Stegostoma tigrinum: one gene and its partner. Each later gene encodes a partner of the first gene's protein in a complex. Links are inferred from orthologs where the notes say so. Each region holds a gene or a part of one and is shown on either strand. Other genes may lie near its edges.

Region 1 (10,022 bases):
ATGACATCCTACTCACCCTGGACACAATTTAATTCTCATTTTGCCTGTGTGCACATTGTAACAACAGATATGTGCTGCAATGGTATGGATTTGACAACCTCCTCCACTTTTATGGGAAGAGAAAGGCACATGGTTAAGAGGAAATTTCTGTTCAATGATGGCACTAATTGATGCATGGGCTGTTTTGTACACATTTATGTCACCAGTCTGAGGGTTCCATACTGGAATCATTATCATGCTTTCTGGAAGCACCTTTTATCATCAAGGCCCAGTTCTGGAGATGGTGATCCAACATTGGAGGAAGCTAGATGTTGTGCACAGTGTAAGCATTGTGCCAGTTCACTTGTTAGTGGGCACACATTTACAAGAATTGTTGCCAGTGGTCATAAAGGAGCTGGTCATTGAGGGATTGAAACCCTACCCTGTTCACGAATCTGACTAGCAGGGAACTCTGAGCACCATTTGTGCAGAGTTGTTGGGTCCTTTCACCTGAGCAAACCAAGCGATAACTGCACTTTGCACAGTTCAGGCAGCTATGCTGTTCAGGTCAATGATGAATTAGAGAAACTGGGTTGCCTTCCTGTAAAGGGCATCAATAAGATTTGTGTGAAATATCACACAAGTCCCCATTTGAATTTTGAAAGGAACCATGATCTTCAGGCCCACAGACAGAGCAGTTCCTTCCAAGCTGTGCAAATGCATATCTTCCTCAGGAGGTACCAGATGTAGATCACAACTACTCCAGAAATGTAACGATGTCATTTACTTATCTGGAGGTAGCTGCAATGCTTTCCATATACCCTTTCTCTATAGACTGTTTCTGTAGTCACTGGACTCCCTCTTACCAGGCTGCGTGTTTGTCGACAGCAGGAGCCCCTGAGCTTCATGTCTATGATTCTGTGTTTTTTCTTTCCTTTTCATCTCCTTCTTCATCTTTTTAGTCTTATAAATGCTAATATTGCTGCTGGGTTTCAACATGTAAAGTGGAATTATTGATATGTGATTAAAGGACAGTAATTAGATGTTTGCTTTGCATTTACCATCTTGTCATATTCAATGACTACTTTAGACCGTTATCAGGCTGCTCCTCCTTGGGCGATACCTTGTACATGGATAGGTGCAATGTCCATCACCCATGACTGATTCTCAGCTTTCCTTTTGGTACATCAGAGACATCTGTGCTTTTTATCTTAAAGGTACCTTGCATGCCGATGCCAATTAACGCAATGTAAATCTATTTGCCATCATAGCACCCTGTGATGCAGCCCCACACTTCTGCAGGATCAGACAACATAACTGTTTCATCACAATGCCATTAACATTCATATACATGAGGCTGCAATTGGTTCTGCATTAATCCCTGAAATTCTTGGAAACCCTCTTTTGAAATTTGAGTTTTGGAAAGATGGGGCTGTACATTTATCTTTGGATTGCATCCCCCACACTCTCCCCATTTTGAGTACAATTCTCCCCCCAACCCCATTACCATGAATGGCCTTGCCATTTCCTGTTTTGTTTTTACTTTGCGATCTTTCAATTTCCCTTTCTTACTATTTCCTTTGACATTCCTGTTCTTCTCCTTGATCCCACTCCCACAGAAATTATGATGCCTCGACTCAGATAAACTCTGCCTTATTCAGTTCTGCTCTTTCTTGCTCTCTCTCTCGCTGCCTCCATTTCAGAGGATCCTTCCACTGCCCATGATTTTAAAGGCACTTAAGTTGCTTTCTCTAGCTTCCCTTTACATCCAGCTCACTTTTCTGAGAACCTTTTTTATTGATGCCCCATTTAGGTTACACACGTGTTTAAGTTAACGTTCCATTTATGTTCATTCACCTTTTAAGTTTTATTATGCCTGCCTGTTCTAATCAGATTTGTTTTAATGAACAGTGTGACTACCTCGATTAGGTCGGCTGGTGGGACTGATCAGCCATCCTCTCTAACACTGTAATAATCTGACTACAATAAACTTGATGGCCAATGTATGTTCGTTCTTATGAGCTGTTGAACAAGGAGGGTCTTTAGATTTAGATTTTATCGTCATGTACATTCATCTACAGGAATACAAGAATACAGTGAGAAACATACAAAGTTGCCATCATCATCATCCGGCACCATCTTAGTATACAAAAGACAGGACACTTTGTCATGGGTCCTTGCTGACAGAAAAACAAAGCCACAATGTGCATCCCTCAATCTGCGAACATTCAGGTGCATAGTGCTGCAGCCGCAATGCTACTGTCAGGTATCTAAGTCCAGCCATGGCCTGGAGCCATGACACCACCGCTGGAACCATGTCACCAGTCTTTGGCATCACATTGGGTCCTTTGCCATCATCACCATGAGTCTGCTGAAGCTGCTGGGTTCTGAACTCGGCTCAAACTCAACGCTGAGCCCACTGCACAAAAGCAACTGGTGCCTTGTTCTGGCTGACGTAGCTACTGCTGCCATGTCCTGGGACTACTATTTCAGCAAAGGTATTTACCACCGCTGGTCCCTGGGAAGGAACAAAACCATTAACACTGGAGGAGCTTAAATGTAATAAACTTGATGGGCTATGAATGTGCCTTGTCATCACCAGCTGAACATTGGGACTCTTTAGTCCACGGAAGTGTTTGCATGATATTTTATTTCTGAAGCAGCCACGTAATGGATTACTGGTTTATTCACAGGGCTCGGAGGAAGCAGTCTACTCTGCCAAGCACTCCTCTTGTGTACATAGTCAGGTTTGTGAACACATGCTTCCTGTTTTTGGCTAAAAAGGTTGCATCCATGAATGTAACTACCATCTCCTGGGACATTAATGAGTATTCATAGACTGCTAAAAAATATAAAAAAGGTTCCTGAAAGCCAACCCAGTTGAAAGGTTCTGAGAAGCTAATACCATAAATTTAACCTGCCATTGGGAAAGAGAAACTTTGCCTCCCGCTCCATTATGTCTTCCTGCCTGACCTTCTAAAAGCTTGGGGGTGGCCCATGGAATATGGTTCTCGGTCCTCTGACAGCTACCCAGGAAGTAGCTCAGCCAAATATATAGTTTTTGCATTTGAAACTGAACAATTAGTGTCAGCAGAATATTTGACTGTGGGCAAAAGAGGAAATGTCCAAAGGAGTGCTTCATTCACACGTACTGCAGTGGACCCAACCAAAGGTGACTATATTCGTCATTCATAATGGAGAACCAAGGTCTATGTTGTTGTCTGTTGACCAGTGTGTGTGTATAATATATATTTATGCTACCATTACTGGGAAGACTGACCATAATTGACTTGTTATCTGCATAATTCCAACTAATGTCTTTTGTACGAATCTTTTAAATTGCACCACATTAAAATTAATTTTGTGACCTACTTATTTATGATCTCCCCATCCAGTGGACATAACCATTTCCAAGGTCTATTAATAATTCTGTTCTTGAAGTTAAAGGAAATGATAATAAAATTGCAACTAATTACCTTTACCAGCTAAGGAGGGATACAGTTAATGTTTATATCTGTTAGTTTTTTTGAAAATTAATTCATGGCATGTAAAGATCACTGGCAGAGCCCATATCTATTACCCATCACTAATTGACTTTGAGAAGGTAATAGCGTGCTTCTTTAATCTATGTTGTCTACAGTGCTGTTAAGAATGGGTGTTCCACGATTTTGACTAGTCAACAGAACTCAAATCAGGATATATTCCACACTTCATCGGGTGTCTTCAGTTCTAAGCTGAAAGGTCACTGGACTTGAAAAGTTAACTCTATTTCGCTCCCTACAGATACTGCCAGACCTGTGTTGTTTCTCCAGCATATTTTGTAATTAACCTGTTCAGGCATGTTACTACACACGTCTGGAGGAAGTGGGACTTGGACATGGATGTCCTGAGCCAGAATGAAGGACATTACCACTGGTACCTCAAAAGCCAGTTTTATCCCCGCAGGCACACTTTCCAGTGTCCGGCATCTCCAGGTCATTGGCAGAGGAGAGAGACTACAACAAGCCCCATCCCAGGCCCCAAGATGACTTTCCATATTAAGCAGAGGTTCACCTGCACATCCGCCAATGTGGTATACTGTATCCATTGTACCCGGTGTGGCTTCCTCTACATTGGGGAAACCAAGCGGAGGCTTGGGGACCGCTTTGCAGAACACCTCCGCTCGGTTCGCAATAAACAACTGCACCTCTCAGTCGCAAACCATTTTAGCTCCCCCTCCCATTCTTCAGATGACATGTCCATCATGGGCCTCCTGCAGTGCCACTAGGATGCCACCCGAAGGGTGCAGGAACAGCAATTCATATTCCGCTTGGGAACCCTGCAGCCCAATGGTGTCAATGTGCACTTCACCAGCTTCAAAATCTCCCTTTCCCCCACCGCATCCCACAACCAGCCCAGTTCGTCCCCTCCCCCCACGGCATCACACAACCAGCCCAGCTCATCCCCCCCACCCACTGCATCCCAAAACCAGCCCAGCCTGTCTCTGCCTCCCGAACCTGTTCTTCCTCTCACCCATCCCTTCCTCCCACCTCAAGCCGCACCTCCATTTCCTACCTACTAACCTCAACCCACCTCCTTGATCTGTCCGTCTTCCCTGGACTGACCTATACCCTCCATACCTACCCACCTATACTCTCCTCTCCACCTATCTTCTTTTCTCTCCATCTTCGGTCCGCCTCCCCCTCTCTCCGTATTTATTCCAGAACCCTCTCCCCATCCCCCTCTCTGATGAAGGGTCTAGGCCCGAAACGTCAGCTTTTGTGCTCCTGAGATACTGCTCGGCCTGCTGTGTTCATCCAGCTTCACATTTTATTATCTTGGATTCTCCAGCATCTGCAGTTCCCATCATCTCAAACTACAAGTCCCAGATGACTTTGCGGTCGGTGGGTGAGAGGGAGGCTATGGGATCCCGGCGTGCCTCGCGCGGTTGGGAGGGTGTAACCAAGGCGGTCTTGAGCGAGGAGTCATAAAGCGATGCAGAAAGATGTAAGATGGCAGAGCTGCAGATGTTACTCGAGGAGGAAATCCCTGCCGGCAAGAGGGCGCTGATAGAGAGTTACCAGAACCTGGGCCGTGTGGCCGATTACTGCGAGAACAACTATATCCAGGTACGAGCTGGCGGGGGCAGTGGTAACGGGAAAAGCGGACGAGCGGCACCGCTGGCGGTTACAACTCCCCTGCCGTGTCCCGCTCTCTCTCTCTCTCACACACACACCGTCCCAGTGGCAAGTAACTCTGCCCGGATACGGGCTGGGCCGTGAATTCGATCCCTCGCCCCCACTCCTGCAACCACCCCCCTGAGACCAGTACAGACAGACAGACACACACACCTCTTCTTTCTTCACTTCGATTTCCCCAGGCCGTGAACGGTTGGACACTTATCCGCCCCCGTCCCGGGGCCTCGATAATGTCAGGTTTTGCTCGGGGCTGAGAGGGGTGGTGGTCTCTCTCTAGCTCTCTTCTGTTTTTAAACTCACTTTGTGAAGGAGTCAGCCTGTTCCGTCAGTAGTTCCCTGGATTTACCAGCACACTTTTTAACGCCAGTCTCTGTGTGTCCCAGAGGGTGTGCCGCGCTGTCTGACTCATATTCCCCGGGTATGTGGGCCGGGGCTCTCCCTCTCCCAATAGTTTCCACCCCTCCCACGGGTCCGCCTGTGCTCTTTAGGCACCCGCTCTACAATTTGAATTGATTTTTATAAACAGCTTTTGTTCTTGAGGCAAGCAGTTCGTCCCCGCTTTGTTTTAATTCGGTGTGAAGCCAGGGGATCTTTCCATTGATCTGTTTGCGTGCGTGTGTTATAAATTTCGGTGTTTCTTTCATGTGATTTGTCTGTCTGAAAGCTAAGTATAGGTTTTTTGTAGTCCGACATGCTGAAATGATAGCTATATCAATTGAGCAACACTCCCTTTACTCTGGGTTGGGCAACCTCGGGGAAACTGTGCGGTGAAGTAGTCTTTCCGACACCAGTTTAGTGTGGAACTAGTCTTAAAGGCGTCAAAAGCCCCCACCCCTCGCCATGAAGTAGGTTTTCCTATCCTCGCTCTTCGTTTTTGTCTTAGTAAATTCCTTGCAAATGTGGGTGTTCGCAGCTTCATGTTCAGCCGCAGTGTTTTTTTTAAACTCCGAGATCACTTGTAACAGGATGAGATCCCAAACTCCACCCGAAAGTTAGTTTGATGCGCCAGATACGGAGGAAACCTATGTAACGTTTGTTTTTTTCCATGGACGGAAATATGATAGTCGGAGGCGGATAGAAGTTGCAACACGACTTGCAGTTGTCAGCTGTAGTGGTCCGGGCAACGACAGATAGGTTTACATATGTCAATAAACACTCTAGTATGAAGTATCCTGCTTTGCAGATGAACTTGTGATTCTCAAACCTTGTGCTCAATTCCAGTTTGTCTGAATTGCACTTGTTTTTGGGTAACTTGCTTATCATAAAATAAGGAAACTGAAGCTATTTGACCCAGGCTGTGTCAATTTAAGGTTTTATTTCTATACGAGCATCACGATGGTGCTGAGTATCTGTCCTTTTTTTGTAATACTCTTGATAGTTGCTTCAAATGTCTTAGTTTTCTCTGGCTGCATAAAGTGCTTTCTTATTTCCATTTCACGAAGTTGTGACCACTTTGAAGCTACTTTGTTTTGCAGTCATGATTTTAATTTGAATCTCTTTCTGTTGTACTGGATAACACGCACCTTAAATTGCTTCTACATTTTTGCTCATACTGTCGCACTTTTAGGGTTTCAGTGCAATTTTTTTTGCTCTGTCGTCTGTCATTTTTATATAGATAACTTCGTAGCCTTTCTCTGCGTGACCTCGGGACCATGTTTTTAGCACTTTTTAAAAATTGAAGTATTTTTGAGTTGTATTTCTAAGCAAGTGTAAAGTCAAAAGTTGGTACCGAGCTTTCAGAGTTTTATTTTTAGAGCAAGTGAACTTCCAGAGTTTGGGATCTTGATAATTGAAGATTTCAGTGTGAAGAATCCAAATGATTTGAGAATTGGAGTTGGAGATGCTTATGGGAGTATTTAAACATGAGGCTTTGAGAAGTGAAGCATTGATTTTTGGAGCTAATGAGTCTGGTGAATGGCATGGATATACTTGCATTTTATGCAGAGTAGAAGCAATGTAGACAAAGCTTTTTGACTTGTCATGTCTTGAGGAAAGATTCAGCCATTAGATAAGTGAATATAGAGCACATTGGTGATGTAGTGTCAATGGAAGTAGTTCAGAATCAATGTAGAGATTGAGAATTATCAGTTCCCCTCCGAGTACTTGGCACTTGTACTTCATCATGCACTTTCAATAGTTTTAAGTTGATTGTATCCTATAGAGGCATCTTAGATCTTCCCCAGCTCACCCACCGTCGCTTGTGTCTTCAGTACACCAGGATACACAGTTCTTCTTGTCACAGTATGAATTGTAAGTATGAGACCAAACACTGATCTTTGTGGTGCTCAACTAAGTTCCATCCTGCCACCCAATAATGACTTATTTATTTTTCTTTTCTGATTCTTGACCGTGCTGATCCTGTGAATTCTTATCTTGTGGAACAAATTGTTCTCTGGGATCTTATCGAGCGCATCCTCAAAATGAATGTGCTGTATCTGCACGTTTTTGTTAATTATCCTGATGGTTTCCACGTTTTAAAAAAACCCTTTGTCGAATCATGTTGACTTTATCTAATCAGTGGCTTACAGCTTTGCCTAGTTCATGCCCCAAATAGTTAGTTCATACATTTAAAAAAAACTGATCATTGTTTCTGTTTTTGCATTTTATTAAAACAGATTTCATTGACTGTTGCTTTGTCCTTAAACCATACAGTCATATTCCCTTTTAATACCTTTTGACTGAAATCTTGCATCTTTGGTACCTGTGTAAAATGTATATCTCATTTGGCTAAATGTTCCAATCTACAGAATAATCTTGGACATTCTTTAAATTTCCCTTCCTTCCAAAGATTGCAAGATATGTTCTAATTTATTTTTTAACTCGGTCAACTTTTAGTATTCTGACTGCATGAGCGGCTTATTGTGGCTGTGTCCCCTTATTTAGAATCATTGTAGGTGATCAGTCCACAGTTGAAGGTAGTCAGTAGGTTGCTCAAGCTGCTACTTGTCTTTTTCGAAAATCTACTTTTATAAAGTTGTATTGCTCAACAGTAATTTCAAGCTCACATGTAAACTGCAAAAACAATCAGTTTCTTTCAGTGCAGAATGTGGATCAAGCTGCTGTTTGTCATCTTTGTTCTCCTGTCAGCCATAGCATCAATTATTCTTGTGAATCAGATTTTGTATCTTTTAATGCAAGATAGAATATTCCTTACTGGCGTATCAGGGGATAGTTAGTCAGATGTCTGTTTATTTCCAAGTACTGGTACTTCCCACTTCCATCTCCCAGCAAATTTCGATCCTTTTGCTTATCTTATCAGAGTAGGTGTCTGGCAGTGTGTCTGCAATATTTTTGAAAGTTAACTGTAATTTTACTTAGCGGTAGTTTAATCCTGCAAGCAAGCATATTGTACACAGAATGTACACCACTGCCAAATATCTTCACTTTTAATATCAGCCCTCCTCGTATGGTCCGCTGGATATTTTAGTCTAATGTTTTGATTGGTTCAGCAGTATTCGCAAGTCTTGGTCAACCAAATTTGATAATGCATCTTGACGCTTCCCATTGCTACCCAATTCCATGTGCACTGTTACACTTCTCTAATTCTAACCGAATAGTTTTAAATTTATCTCCTCCATTAGTCTGTATTGTGTAGTAATTCAATCTATGAACACTTTTTTTTTGCTGAATTGTTTTTAACCAGAAACGTTTTGCACCTTTTTCTGCTATTGTCACAGCCAGCGTAACTTGTATAGCAATTTGTGCAAGCTTTATTTAATTTCTCGGTTGAAGCAGGATATATGGCAGTACTGTATTGGAGAGAGGAGTTAATTTGTGCAAGCCAGTTTGAAAAATGATATCACATGGTGTTTATAGCATAGAAGTGGGCCATTTTAGCTGCTGTACAACCCCTTGCCAGTGCTTGTGCACCATGTGAGCTTCCATCCATCCTTAACTAATTCTTGTAGTCATCTTCCTTTGTAATGACTGCCTTGTTTTCCTCATTAATGTCCTTGCCAATTGCCTGCTACAAAACAAGTTCAGTATTCTACATTGTGACCACAGTCTTAAACAGAAAGGCCTTTCCTAAGTTCCTTTTTAGTTTTATTTAGTGATGATCTGTGCCAGCTCTCCTCTGCTGAAGGTAAGAACCACAGTCTATTCAAGTGTTCCTGAAAGGAACAACCTCTCATTTCTGGTATCATATCTTTTTTGATCTCTTTAGGCAACCTGCAGTGTCCCATAGAATAGAATCCGTACAGTGTGGAAACAGGCCCTTTGGCCTAACAAGTCTACACAGAACCTCAGAGCATCTCACCCACACTGATGCCGTCATCACCCTATAACCCACCTAATCTACAACTCCCTGAACATGGGCAATTTAGCATGGCCAATCCACCTCACCTGCACATCTTTGGACTGTGGGAGGAAACAGCACTTGGAGGAAACCCAAGCAGACAAGGGGACAATGCAAACTCAACACAGACAGTTGCCAGAGGCTGGAATCGAACCCAGGTTCCAGGCACTGAGGCTACAGTGCTAACTACTGTGCTGTCATGCCATTCCAACCTTGTTTCAATGCATATTTCCAGTATTTGCAAATGTCATTTAGCTGCATTTTTATAAGGAGTCACCCTAATTCCTTTTATTCTTATCATATCTATGCTTGGACATTTCCATTCCTTGCAGTGCTCATTGGTTATGGCATGACCAGTTAGAAACAGCTAGGAAGTGTTTACTAAATGAAACTTCAAATTTTAATGTTTGGTTGGTTGTGCTATGTGATGGAAGAATGTTATGCAGTGGTGATCTTGTTCTGAAGTGTGACTTCATAGTTTTCCCATACCCTTGGCTCACTCATTGACTTAACTATGTATGGTGTTTGTTTATTCAGTCACATAGATGAGATTAGGACAATTCCAGATG
Region 2 (11,021 bases), on another chromosome or scaffold:
CCTTCATCTCCAGAATTCTTTTCTTAAATCTCCCCATCCAGGCCTCTTCCTGCTAATTAAAGACACTCCTTAGAACTACTTCATATCTGGATAAGTGTCAAATCTGTCTTTTCAATGTTTCTGTAAAGTATCTTTACCACTTTTAAGGTGCTGTGTAAATACAAAGTACTATTGGTTCCAATTGTTCTGTGTGTTATTTCTGTCCCTTAATAAATATTAATTAGTACACTAATTAATTAACTTAATTAATAATATTAATTAAATAGTGTAGCCATCAGAATAGAACTTTCCAATGTCTTTGTCAAGACAAGAAGTTACAAGAATGGTTCATATTGTTTTCAAAACAGATATAAAGGGTTTGATTGCTTACCCTGGGAATACAATGCTTCTCTTAACATATGAGGTACTAGTTGGCAATGAACAGTAACTTCTAATGTGAAGCATGAATGGAAAACGTCAGACAGAAGGCTGAAATGTAACACAAATTACAGCGGTACTTTTTAATGATTTCAATGGTGTCACATATCCTGTCACACATCTAGAATTTTTTAAATATCTACTAAAGTTAGTTTTGAAATACAGTGAGTCAAGGCCTAGATTCTTGTTAATGAACATTAACAGGCCATAACCATATATAGGACGTCTTGTGGTCTTGCAGGCCTCACTCTCTCTCTCTGCATTCTTGCAGCCCCCATTCTCTCTCTGTCTGTGTTCTTGCAGCCCCCTCTCTCTCTGCATTCTTGCAGCCCCCTCTCTGCGTTCTTGCAGACCTCACTCTCTCGCTTTCTCTCTGCGTTCTTGCAGCCCCCACTCTCTCTGCATTCTTGCAGCCCCCTCTCTGCGTTCTTGCAGACCTCACTCTCTCGCTTTCTCTCTGCGTTCTTGCAGCCCCCACTCTCTCTGCATTCTTGCATCCCTCGGTCTCTCTCTCTGCGTTCTTGCAGCCCCCACTCTTTCTCTTTCTCTCTCTCTCTCTCACATCCCACTCTCTCTCATTGCATTCTTGCAGCCCCACTCTCTCTCTGTCTGTGTTCTTACAGCCTACTCTCTCTCTGTCGGCGTTCTTGCAGCCCCCTCTCTCTCTGCGTTCTTGCAGACCTCACTCTCTCGCTTTCTCTCTGCGTTCTTGCAGCCCCACTCTCTCTGCATTCTTGCAGCCCTCGGTCTCTCTCTCTGCGTTCTTGCAGCCCCCACTCTTTCTCTTTCTCACTCTCTCTCTCACACCTCACTCTCTCTCTTTGCATTCTTGCAGCCCCACTCTCTCTCTGTCTGCGTTCTTGCAGCCCCCTCTCTCTCTGCATTCTTGCAGACTTCACTCGCTCTGCGTTCTTGCAGACCTCACTCTCTCTCTTTCTCTCTGCGTTCTTGCAGCCCCCACTCTTTCTCTTTCTCTCGCACCCTCTGTGACTTGACAGTGCCACTTCACTCTTTCTCTCTCTCTCTCTCTCTCTGTGATCTGACAGTCATAGAGTCACAGAGCCATACAGCACGGAAACAGGCCCTTCGGCCCAAAACATCCATGCCAACCAGATTTCCTAAACTGAACTAGTCACATTTTCCAGCGATTTAGCTGATATCCCTCTAAACCCTTCCTGTCCGAATGTCTTTTTAAGTGTTGTAATTGTACTCTTCTCTACTACTACTTCTGGCAGCTTGTTCCATGTAGTTGGCACCCTCTGTGTGAAAAAGTTGCCACTAAGGTCCCTTTTAAGTCTTTTCCCTGACACCTCAAAGCTATGCCCTCTACTCCCCAACCGTGGGGAAAAGACCTTGGCTAATCACCTTAAGGATGTCCTTCATTATTATATAAACCTCTATGAGGTCACCTCTCAGCCTCCAATGCTCCGGGGAACAAAAATCCCAGCCTATGCAGCCTCTCCTTTACCTCAAACCTCCCAGTCTCGATAGCATTCCTGAAAATCTTTCTTGTGCCATTTCCAATTTAATAAAATCCTTCCCATAGCAGGGCAACTAGAATTGTATGAATTTCTCCACATGTGGCCTTACCAACGTCTGGTACAGTTGTAACATGATGTCCCAACTCCTATACTCAATGCTCTGACCAATGAAGGTAAGCGTACCAAACACTTTCTTCACCACCCTTTCTACCTGTGAGGTCACTTTCAAAGAACTATGTAGCTGTACCCTCGATCTTTCTGCCTTACAACATTCCCCAGGACTATACCATTAACTGTGTAAGTCCTGTCCTGGTTTGTCTAACCAAAATGCAATACCTCACATTCATCTGAATTAATATCCCTCTGACCTTCCTTGGCCCATTGGCCCAGCTGATCAAGATCTTGTTGCACTCTGAGGTAACCTTCTACACTGTTTTGGCGTTATCTGCAGAAGTACTAGCCATGCCTCCTATATTCTTATCCAAATCATTTCTGTAAATGATGAACGACAGTAAACATAGCACTGATCCCCATGGCACACTGCTAATCACAGGCCTCCAGTCTGAGCCACAAAGCTCTATCATCATTCTGTCTCCTATCCTCCCTCTCTGTATCTCTCTGTCTGTGACCTAACACTTTCCCCATGCTCTCTCTCTCTCTGTCTGTGATCTGGTAGGTCCCTTGTTCTTTCTCTGTGATCTAATAGCCTCCCACATGCTCTGCTTCTGTCATCTGACACTTCCCCTACTCTCTGTGTGAGCTGGTATATCCCTCATTCTCTTGTGATCTGACAATCCCCACACTCTCTCTGTATGATCTGGCAGTTATCCATGCTGCCCTGTTATCTGACAATCCCCACACCCACTATCTTCAATTTGGTTGATCCCGCCTCCCGAATCACTTTCTGTGATCTGACAGCCTCCCCACTATCTGTGATCTGGTAGATCCTTACCTCTCTCGGTGATACAACAAAGAAGAAAACAAAGAAAATTACAGCACAGGAACAGGCCTTCGGCCCTCCAAGCCAGCGTCGATCGAGATCCTCTGTCTAACCTGTCATCTATTTTCTAAGGGTCTGTGTCCATTTGCTCCCTGCTCATCCATGTACCTGTCCAGATATATCTTAAAAGATGCTAACGTGTCTGCGTCTACCACCTCCGCTGGCAACGCGTTCCAGGCACCCACCACCCTCTGTGTAAAGAACTATCCACGCATATCTTCCTTAAACTTTCCTGGCAGTTATATATATATCCTGGCAGCTATATGATCTGGCAGTTCCCATTCTCTCTCTGTGATCTGAAAGTCTCTCCGTTACCAGTGATCTGGTAGATAGCCCTACTCTCTGTGATCTGATGGTCCCTGCCCCCACAATCTGTGATCTAGTATATTCCGTCACTCTGTTATCTGACAGTCCACCCTTCCCCCACTATGTGTGATCTGGTAGATCCTGCTCTCTCTGTGACCTGACAATATCCCATCCCTCTGCAATCAGGCGGTCTCCTCCTCTATTTCTTTGATCTGACAGAATCCCCTCTCTCTGTGATCTGGTAGATTCCCACCCTCTGTAATCTGGCTGTTCTGGCACCCCCTGTCCTGCTGTGTGATCTGGTAGAATCCCCCCCCCCCCGCCCCCCCCCCCCCCGGTAATCTGACAGTGATTCCCCCCCTCTACAATATGACCGTGCTCCCCCCAACTCTGTATTTCTGGCAGTATTCTCCCACCCGCCGTATTTCTGGCAGTGTTCCCCCCCGCTGTAATCTGACAGTGTTCCCCTCTCTCTGTAATCAGACAGTGTCCCCCTCTCTGTAATCTGACGGTGTTTCCCCCTCTGTAATCTGACAGTATTCCCCCCCTCTGTAATCTGACAGTGTTCCCCTCTCTCTGTAATCAAACAGCGTCCCCCTCTCTGTAATCTGACGGTGTTCCCCCCCTGTAATCTGATGGTGTCCCCCAACCCTCTGTAATCTGACGGTGTTCCCACCCCGTATGGAATCTGATGGTGTCCCCCAACTATGTAGTCTGATAGTGCATCCCCTCCTGTAATCTAACGGTGTTCCCCCCCGCCCCACCGTGTAATCTGATGGTGTCCCCCGGCCTCTGTAATCTGACGGTGTTCCCCCCGTCTCTGTAATCTGACAGTGTTCCCCCCTCTCTGTAATCTGAAGGTGTTCCCCCCCCTCTATAATCTGACGGTGTCCCTCCTCCCTCTCTGTAATCTAACGGTGATCCCCCCGTCTGTAATCTGACAGTTCCCCCCCCCCCACTCACTGTAATCTGACGGTGTTTCCCCCCCACTCTCTGTAATCTGATGGTGTTCCCCCCCCCGTAATCTGACGGTGTTCCACCCCCCACTTTCTGTAATATGATGGTGTTCCCCCCGTAATCTGACAGTGTTCCCCTCCCACTGTCTGTAATCTGACAGTGTTCCCCCCCACTGTCTGTAATCTGACAGTGTCCCCCCCACTCTCTGTAATCTGACAGTGTTTCCCCCCACTCTCTGTAATCTGACAGTGTCCCCCCCTGTAATCTGAGTGTCTCCCCCCCTGTAATCTGAGTGTCTCCCCCCCGTAATCTGACAGTGTCTCCCCCCCGTAATCTGACAGTGTCCCCCCCACTCTCTGTAATCTGACAGTGTCTCCCCCTGACTCTCTGTAATCTGACAGTGTATCCCACCCAACACCCCCCACTCTCTGTAATCTGACAGTGTTTCCCCCCCCCCCACCGCCCACTCTCTGTAATCTGACAGTTCCCCCCTGACTCTCTGTAATCTGACAGTGTCCCCCCCCAACTCTCTGTAATCTGACAGTGTCCCCCCTCCACTCTCTGTAATATGACAGTGTCCGCCCCCCACTCTCTGTAATCTGACAGTGTCTCCCCCTCCCCACTCTCTGTAATCTGACAGTGTCCCCCTCCACTCTCTGTAATCTGACAGTGTTCCCCCCCCCACACTCTGTAATCTGACAGTGTCCCCCTCCACTCTCTGTAATCTGACAGTGTCCCCCCCAACTCTCTGTAATCTGACAGTGTCTCCCCCTCGGTAATCTGAGTGTCTCCCCCCCGTAATCTGACAGTGTCTCCCCCCCGTAATCTGACAGTGCCCCCCCACTCTATGTAATCTGACAGTGTCCCCCTCCCCCCTGTAATCTGACAGTGTTCCCCCCCATAATCTGACAGTGCCTCCCCCCCACTCTCTGTAATCTGACAGTGTTCCCCCCACACTCTGTAATCTGACAGTGCCTCCCCCCCACTCTCTGTAATCTGACAGTGTCCCCCCCCCACACTCTGTAATCTGACAGTGCCTCCCCCCCACTCTCTGTAATCTGACAGTGTTCCCCCCCCACACTCTGTAATCTGACAGTGCCTCCCCCCCACTCTCTGTTATCTGACAGTGTTCCCCCCCCACACTCTGTAATCTGACAGTGTCCCCCTCCACTCTCTGTAATCTGACAGTTTCTCCCCCCCCCACACTCTGTAATCTGACAGTGTCCCCTCCCCTCACTCTGTAATCTGACAGTTTCTCCCCCCCCCACTCTCTGTAATCTGACAGTGTTCCCCCCTCTGTAATCTGACAGTTTCTCCCCCCCCCACTCTCTGTAATCTGACAGTTTCTCCCCCCCACCCACTCTCTGTAATCTGACAGTTTCTCCCCCCCCCCACCACTCTCTGTAATCTGACAGTTTCTCCCCCCCCCCCCCCCTCTCTGTAATCTGACAGTGTTTCCTCCCCGATTTTTGCAGGTTTTGCTCAGACCTGTTGAGGTATGTGCAACATTTGGAAAAGACCATAACGCCCAATGAAGAGGGGTAAACCGTAATATATACAGGTCCCAGAAGAAATTCTCTAGTCAACCTCTTGTCCCGTCCTGACTTAGCAAAATTTGATTTTAATTTTTTACCAGGAACAATGAAGCATTAAAAGAGCTACCCCTGTTTTAAGTGTATATCTCATTGTTATTAAATATTTTTCTCCCTCCTCCATCCGTAATGGTTTCTCCCGGATCAAACGCGGATACACGCTCACACCACCAAACGTGTGCTGTCAGTATGATTGCCGGCTGCGTTGTCCAATCAGAATGCGGATGTACCGGAAGCGGATCTGGAATCCCCTGTGTGGGTGTGGCTATGGTGGAGAGTTGGGGGGAATCAGGGCGGATGGCGGTTGTCTTCTAAGATGCGGGTTCGCGTCGGCAATCAGTTCGAGTGAGTTTCTGTCTGTCACGTCTTCTCATCTGGGCCGTTTCGGGCTACGGCCCCGGAGGTTTCGAACTTGGTGTGGTGGGCCGCGGCTTCAGTTTGTGCCGAATAGTGAGCGTTCAACCCGGAGCCGGGGGCAGCCGTGTCACCCACCCCCCCCCCCCCACCGCCTCCCCTCACCCCCCCCAACCACCGCCTCCCCTCACCCATCCCCCTACCGCCTCCAGCCCTCCCCACCCCCCTACCGCCTCCAGCCCTCCCCCCCCCACCGCCTCCCCTCCCCACCCCCCCACCGCCTCCCCTCACCCATCCCTCCCGCCTCCCCTCACCCATCCCTCCCGCCTCCCCTCACCCATCCCCCCCCCTACCGCCTCCAGCCCTCTCCCCCCCTCACCCATCCCCCCCCCTCACCGCTTACACTTCCACCCCCCCTCCGCCTCCAGCCCTCTCCCCCCCTCCCCGCCTCCCCTCACCCACCCCCTCCCTCACCGCTTCCACCTCCACCCCACCCCTCACCGCTTCCACCCCCCCACCCCCGCCCCTCGCTGCCTCCCCCCACCCAACAGGGCACTGAATGATTGATTATTTAGATGAAAATAATGTGCTAGGAAATGATAGAAAAGCTGGAGGTTGGCGTGAGGTAATGATGCTAGTTTATTGAGCTGGTGCAGATACAATGGGCCCAATGGCCTCTTATACCACTACAACCAGTGCAAAAATTGAACCCTGTTGACATCAATCAGCATTGAGGACTCATCCTGGGGCCTGCAACTGAAAATAATTGAGGAAAAGAAGGCTTTGCAAAAAACAAAAACAGAGATAGGTTTGGCAGCTATGAGTTTATGCAGCATTGGTGGAGAGAAAGCGCAACATTCAGAGTCCTGTAGCTCCTTCAGAATCTGTTCTGAAGAGTGGACAGAAGACATGAAACATTAACTGTTTTCTCCCACAGATGCTGCCACATGAGTTTCTGCAGCAACTTCTGTTTGTTTCAGATCTCTAGCATCTGCAGTTCTTTGTACTATTTAAGAGTTTAGTAATATTTGCCTTGACATTATTGAAAGTTGTATTTGTTTGGTGTTGAAAATCAATGGCCATAAACTGGTTAGATTTTCTTGACATAAGAGATGGGAAAAATTGCCAAAATGTTTCAATTTCAGGCAAAGCTTTGTGCAATTGCCCACTTTGGTCATTTAAACTTTCATTTTGAGGAAGGGGGAAATACTTTGTTCCGGATTGTGGTGAATTTAACCTTTCTGTCTGCTGTTAAGGAAGGCACCTCATTTCTCATACTTTTTATTCTTCCTCAATTGGATTATTTGAAATAAAGTTGAACTTTGTAATTTGATGGAATTTCCTAAAGAAAATATATTTTGTTGCCCTGGTTTTTAGTGTAATGTTTTTTAAAGAAAAAGTACTGTGAAGCTTTCAAAATGTCTTTCTTTCCCATGGCTTGTCTTATCAAGAAAAAGACATTTGTTTGTCAAAATAGAATCTGGTATGTTGTTGCAAAGTTAGAAGTTGGCATGTCATAATGTTGAACGTTTGCACAGCCATTCCAATCATTGAGTCATACTTGGGTGTGTACGCAGCTATTCTTGTCTTCCCACAAGCCATTGCTTTTGTATGTAATGTATGTTGAGGGAAGACATTTGAATCTGATTAGTTTCAAGCTGCGTTTTGAAGTCTAAAAATGTAAGCTTTTTCTAGAGCCAGAAGTTGCAATTAACAGATGCAACACATCAGAATCTGATGTAATCAGAAATCTTCAAAATGTTGTGTAGATTTACTATAAAAAGACTGGAGCGGGGTGGGGGGAAAGAAATTGACTTGTAATCTAGTTAGTTGTCTTGTTAATTGACCAAACACCAGACCTGGACTGCATACTGGCCACAATGTTTATTTTTCTTCTGATCGTGGGACTTGTAAGTAATTAAATTACTTTAGGAGCTGGCAGTAAGTTGGAGGTTGCATATCTTCATGTTGAAGATGTTTGCTCCTAAAAACTTGGTGTTATTGCTTTGAATCTCAGGGCAAGGTGGGCTTCTACACCACAGCCAAATTTCGGGTGGTAAATTAAAAAGCAATCTTTGGCATTAACTCGCTGAAGCCTTTGGGGCCTTTACAAAGGATAGTAAGCTCTTGGAATTTGAAGTCTCTAAGATTTTTAAGAAATGTGTTGCTCTGAAGGCAACATGGAAATTTTATTCGCCACAGGCTATTTCTGATTAGTCTTTGGACAATCCAAATTTCTGTTTGGTATGTTCGTATTTAATGTCATTGACACTGATTCAGAGTTAAAGGATCCCTTGGTAATACATTTAACAGCCCTGGAGCATCATTGTCAGATTTTTCTCATGGGGGTTAAGGAAAGAGGAAAAAGCAAAATATAGTTACCCCCATCCACTCCAGTCTGTCATCTAAGAATTCTTCTGCCCGGACCTTTTAACTTGCTTCCTCATAGGAGCATGAGGATGAAATAAAGGAAAAAGACCTGCCTTTATATACCATATTTCAAGACTACCTGACAAGTGGAGTTCTTCTGAAGCCTTCAGAGATAGTAGGAACTGCAAATGCTGGAGAATCTGAGATAACAAGGTGTAGAGCTGGATGAACACAGGTCGAGCAGGAAGGCTGAAGTTTCGGGCCTAGACCCTTTTTCAGAAAATTTTCTGAAATTTTTTGTTATCTCTGCTTCTGAAGCCTAGTCATTTATAGCGTAGGAAACACAACAGCCAACTTGTGATTAAATAGTGACCTTTGTTACAGCAGTGCTCCCTTGGTGCAGCATTGGACTGAGTCTTTTGACTTTTCTCCTGAAGCCCTGGGGTGGGAACTGAATCTCATACCTTATGACAGTGAAGTGAGACTGCTGTAAACTGCCATGGCTGACGTTCCTGCAGAATATACACCATTATCAGGATTTAAGGAAGACTGTTGCTCTGCTGACACTAGTATGCCCATCAGAAAACGTTAGATGAGCACATGTAATACCTGTGCTAATTTCAGCTACCTACTGTGTCCAGGCAGTTTTACTTAACCATAATTCTGCGAAGTTAGCTGGAAAATGTTTTTGAATTATATAGTATTTAAATAAGGTAAACTGAAGAGTGTCATTAAACCAGGCAACATCAGATATTTTTAAATGTTCTTCAATGCATTCTATTTTACAGTAAACATTGACCTCAATAAATTCTTGAGGCACTGTTAAATATTTTAATTCTTCATTTAATGTGTAGGCTAGGTTGTGTGACACTGAATTTGCTGTCTGTATGCTGAAAGTAGCAAATTACATGACTTAAAGGCATTTTGACTGGAGTTATAAATATTATCTGGACCTAGAGACAATGGTTTGATGGGCATCCTTGTGCTATGATTTGCTGTAAATGGGCATGAACTTAAAGGGATAATAAAATGTGAGGCTGGATGAACACAGCAGGCCAAGCCGCATCTCAGGAGCACAAAAGCTGACGTTTCGGGCCTAGACCCTTCATCAGAGCTCTCTGATGAAGGGTCTAGGCCCGAAACGTCAGCTTTTGTGCTCCTGAGATGCGGCTTGGCCTGCTGTGTTCATCCAGCCTCACATTTTATTATCTTGGAATCTCCAGCATCTGCAGTTCCCATTATCTCATGAACTTAAAGGGATGTGTTTTTGCAAATACAAATGTTTCGACTGTAGCATTTAATAACCTTTGCACATCATAAACTTAGCGTAACAAGCATAAACGATTAATTTTGTAATTGTTGAGACAAGAGAATAATGAAGCTGACCAGACTCTCTGAAATATTTGGCTGGATATACTGAGCTGTGTTAGCTTTTGAGATTAGATTGGAGAGGTGGATAAAGAGAATAGGAACAGCGGGGGTAAATGTAATTAGATAATTTGTTTATATGAAGAAACATTAGCTTGTTTCTTGATTACAGCATGTACTTCTGTTTACATACAATGGAAGTTTTTTTGTTTTGTGTAGTTTCCTCAATGATTTTATGCTCAATCCTTTTAAGAAGAGGAGTACGACGAACCTTGTTGGTTACATTTTGTGTTGTTTTTAATTGTCGCAGGTAGTGCAGGAGTTATGATGTTTGACTCCTAAATTGTTATCTGTTCAATTAAGACCGCTTGATATTGAAATCTTAATTTCAGAATCTACTAAAGTCTATACATGGCATGCAACTCTAAACTGTTTCATAAATTAAGCAGTTGTATAATTAATCTGGTAAATAGGATTTGAAAAATTCAATCATCTTTGACCTCTGTGACAAAAATATGCCAGCTTGTACTGCATTTTTTGTAAATGCTAACTGAGTGAAAACTATGTAACTCCAAATGTACAAAATGTTGCTGTGAAAGCTAGCACAAAGTGAGATTGACAGCAGATGTTCAAAACATGTTTTTCCTTCCCTTCAGTATAATTTGAAGTTAGTTTGTCACATGCAGTAAGGCTAATTTTTATATATAATAATTGATATTCCAATCAGATGCTCACCAAAATGAATAACAAAAGTTATAACTGATCTTATTTAGATTAGATTCTTAGATCCCCTACAGTGTGGAAACAGGCCCTTCAGCCCAACAAGTCCACACCTACCCTTGAAGCATCCCACCCAGAACTACCCTGTATAATCCACACACCCCTGAACAGTACGGGCAATTTAGCAAGGCCAATCCACCTAACCTGCACATCTTTGGACTGTGGGAGGAAACTGGAGCACCCGGAGAAAACCCACGCAAACACGGGGAGAATGTGCAAACTCCACACAGACAGTCGCCCAAGGTGGGAATCGAACCCGGGTCCCTGGCGCTGTGAGGCTGCAGTGCTAACCACTGAGCCACTGCCGTATTCTTACTTGGCTTTTATCATTTCTTTCTATTTTGCTGGATGGTGTGGGTTCAGAGCTCTGAAAATCAATCATGGCTTCCCTGTGAT

Evidence for each region. The genes of interacting proteins can lie anywhere in the genome.
Region 2: abi1a (region 1) and wasf2 share a complex: the UniProt entries of both Homo sapiens proteins name them as parts of the WAVE2 complex. The link is inferred for Stegostoma tigrinum from reciprocal best matches to the Homo sapiens genes ABI1 and WASF2.

Annotation. Positions count from the first base shown.
Region 1 is NC_081355.1:123,346,087-123,356,108, reverse strand, and holds the start of abi1a (abl interactor 1a), read left to right. Parts: upstream 1-4,891; 5' UTR 4,892-4,970; coding exon 4,971-5,087; intron 5,088-10,022. UniProt on the Homo sapiens protein: May act in negative regulation of cell growth and transformation by interacting with nonreceptor tyrosine kinases ABL1 and/or ABL2. May play a role in regulation of EGF-induced Erk pathway activation. Involved in cytoskeletal reorganization and EGFR signaling.
Region 2 is NC_081377.1:43,677,473-43,688,493, reverse strand, and holds the start of wasf2 (wiskott-Aldrich syndrome protein family member 2), read left to right. Parts: upstream 1-5,964; 5' UTR 5,965-6,098; intron 6,099-11,021. UniProt on the Homo sapiens protein: Downstream effector molecule involved in the transmission of signals from tyrosine kinase receptors and small GTPases to the actin cytoskeleton. Promotes formation of actin filaments. Part of the WAVE complex that regulates lamellipodia formation.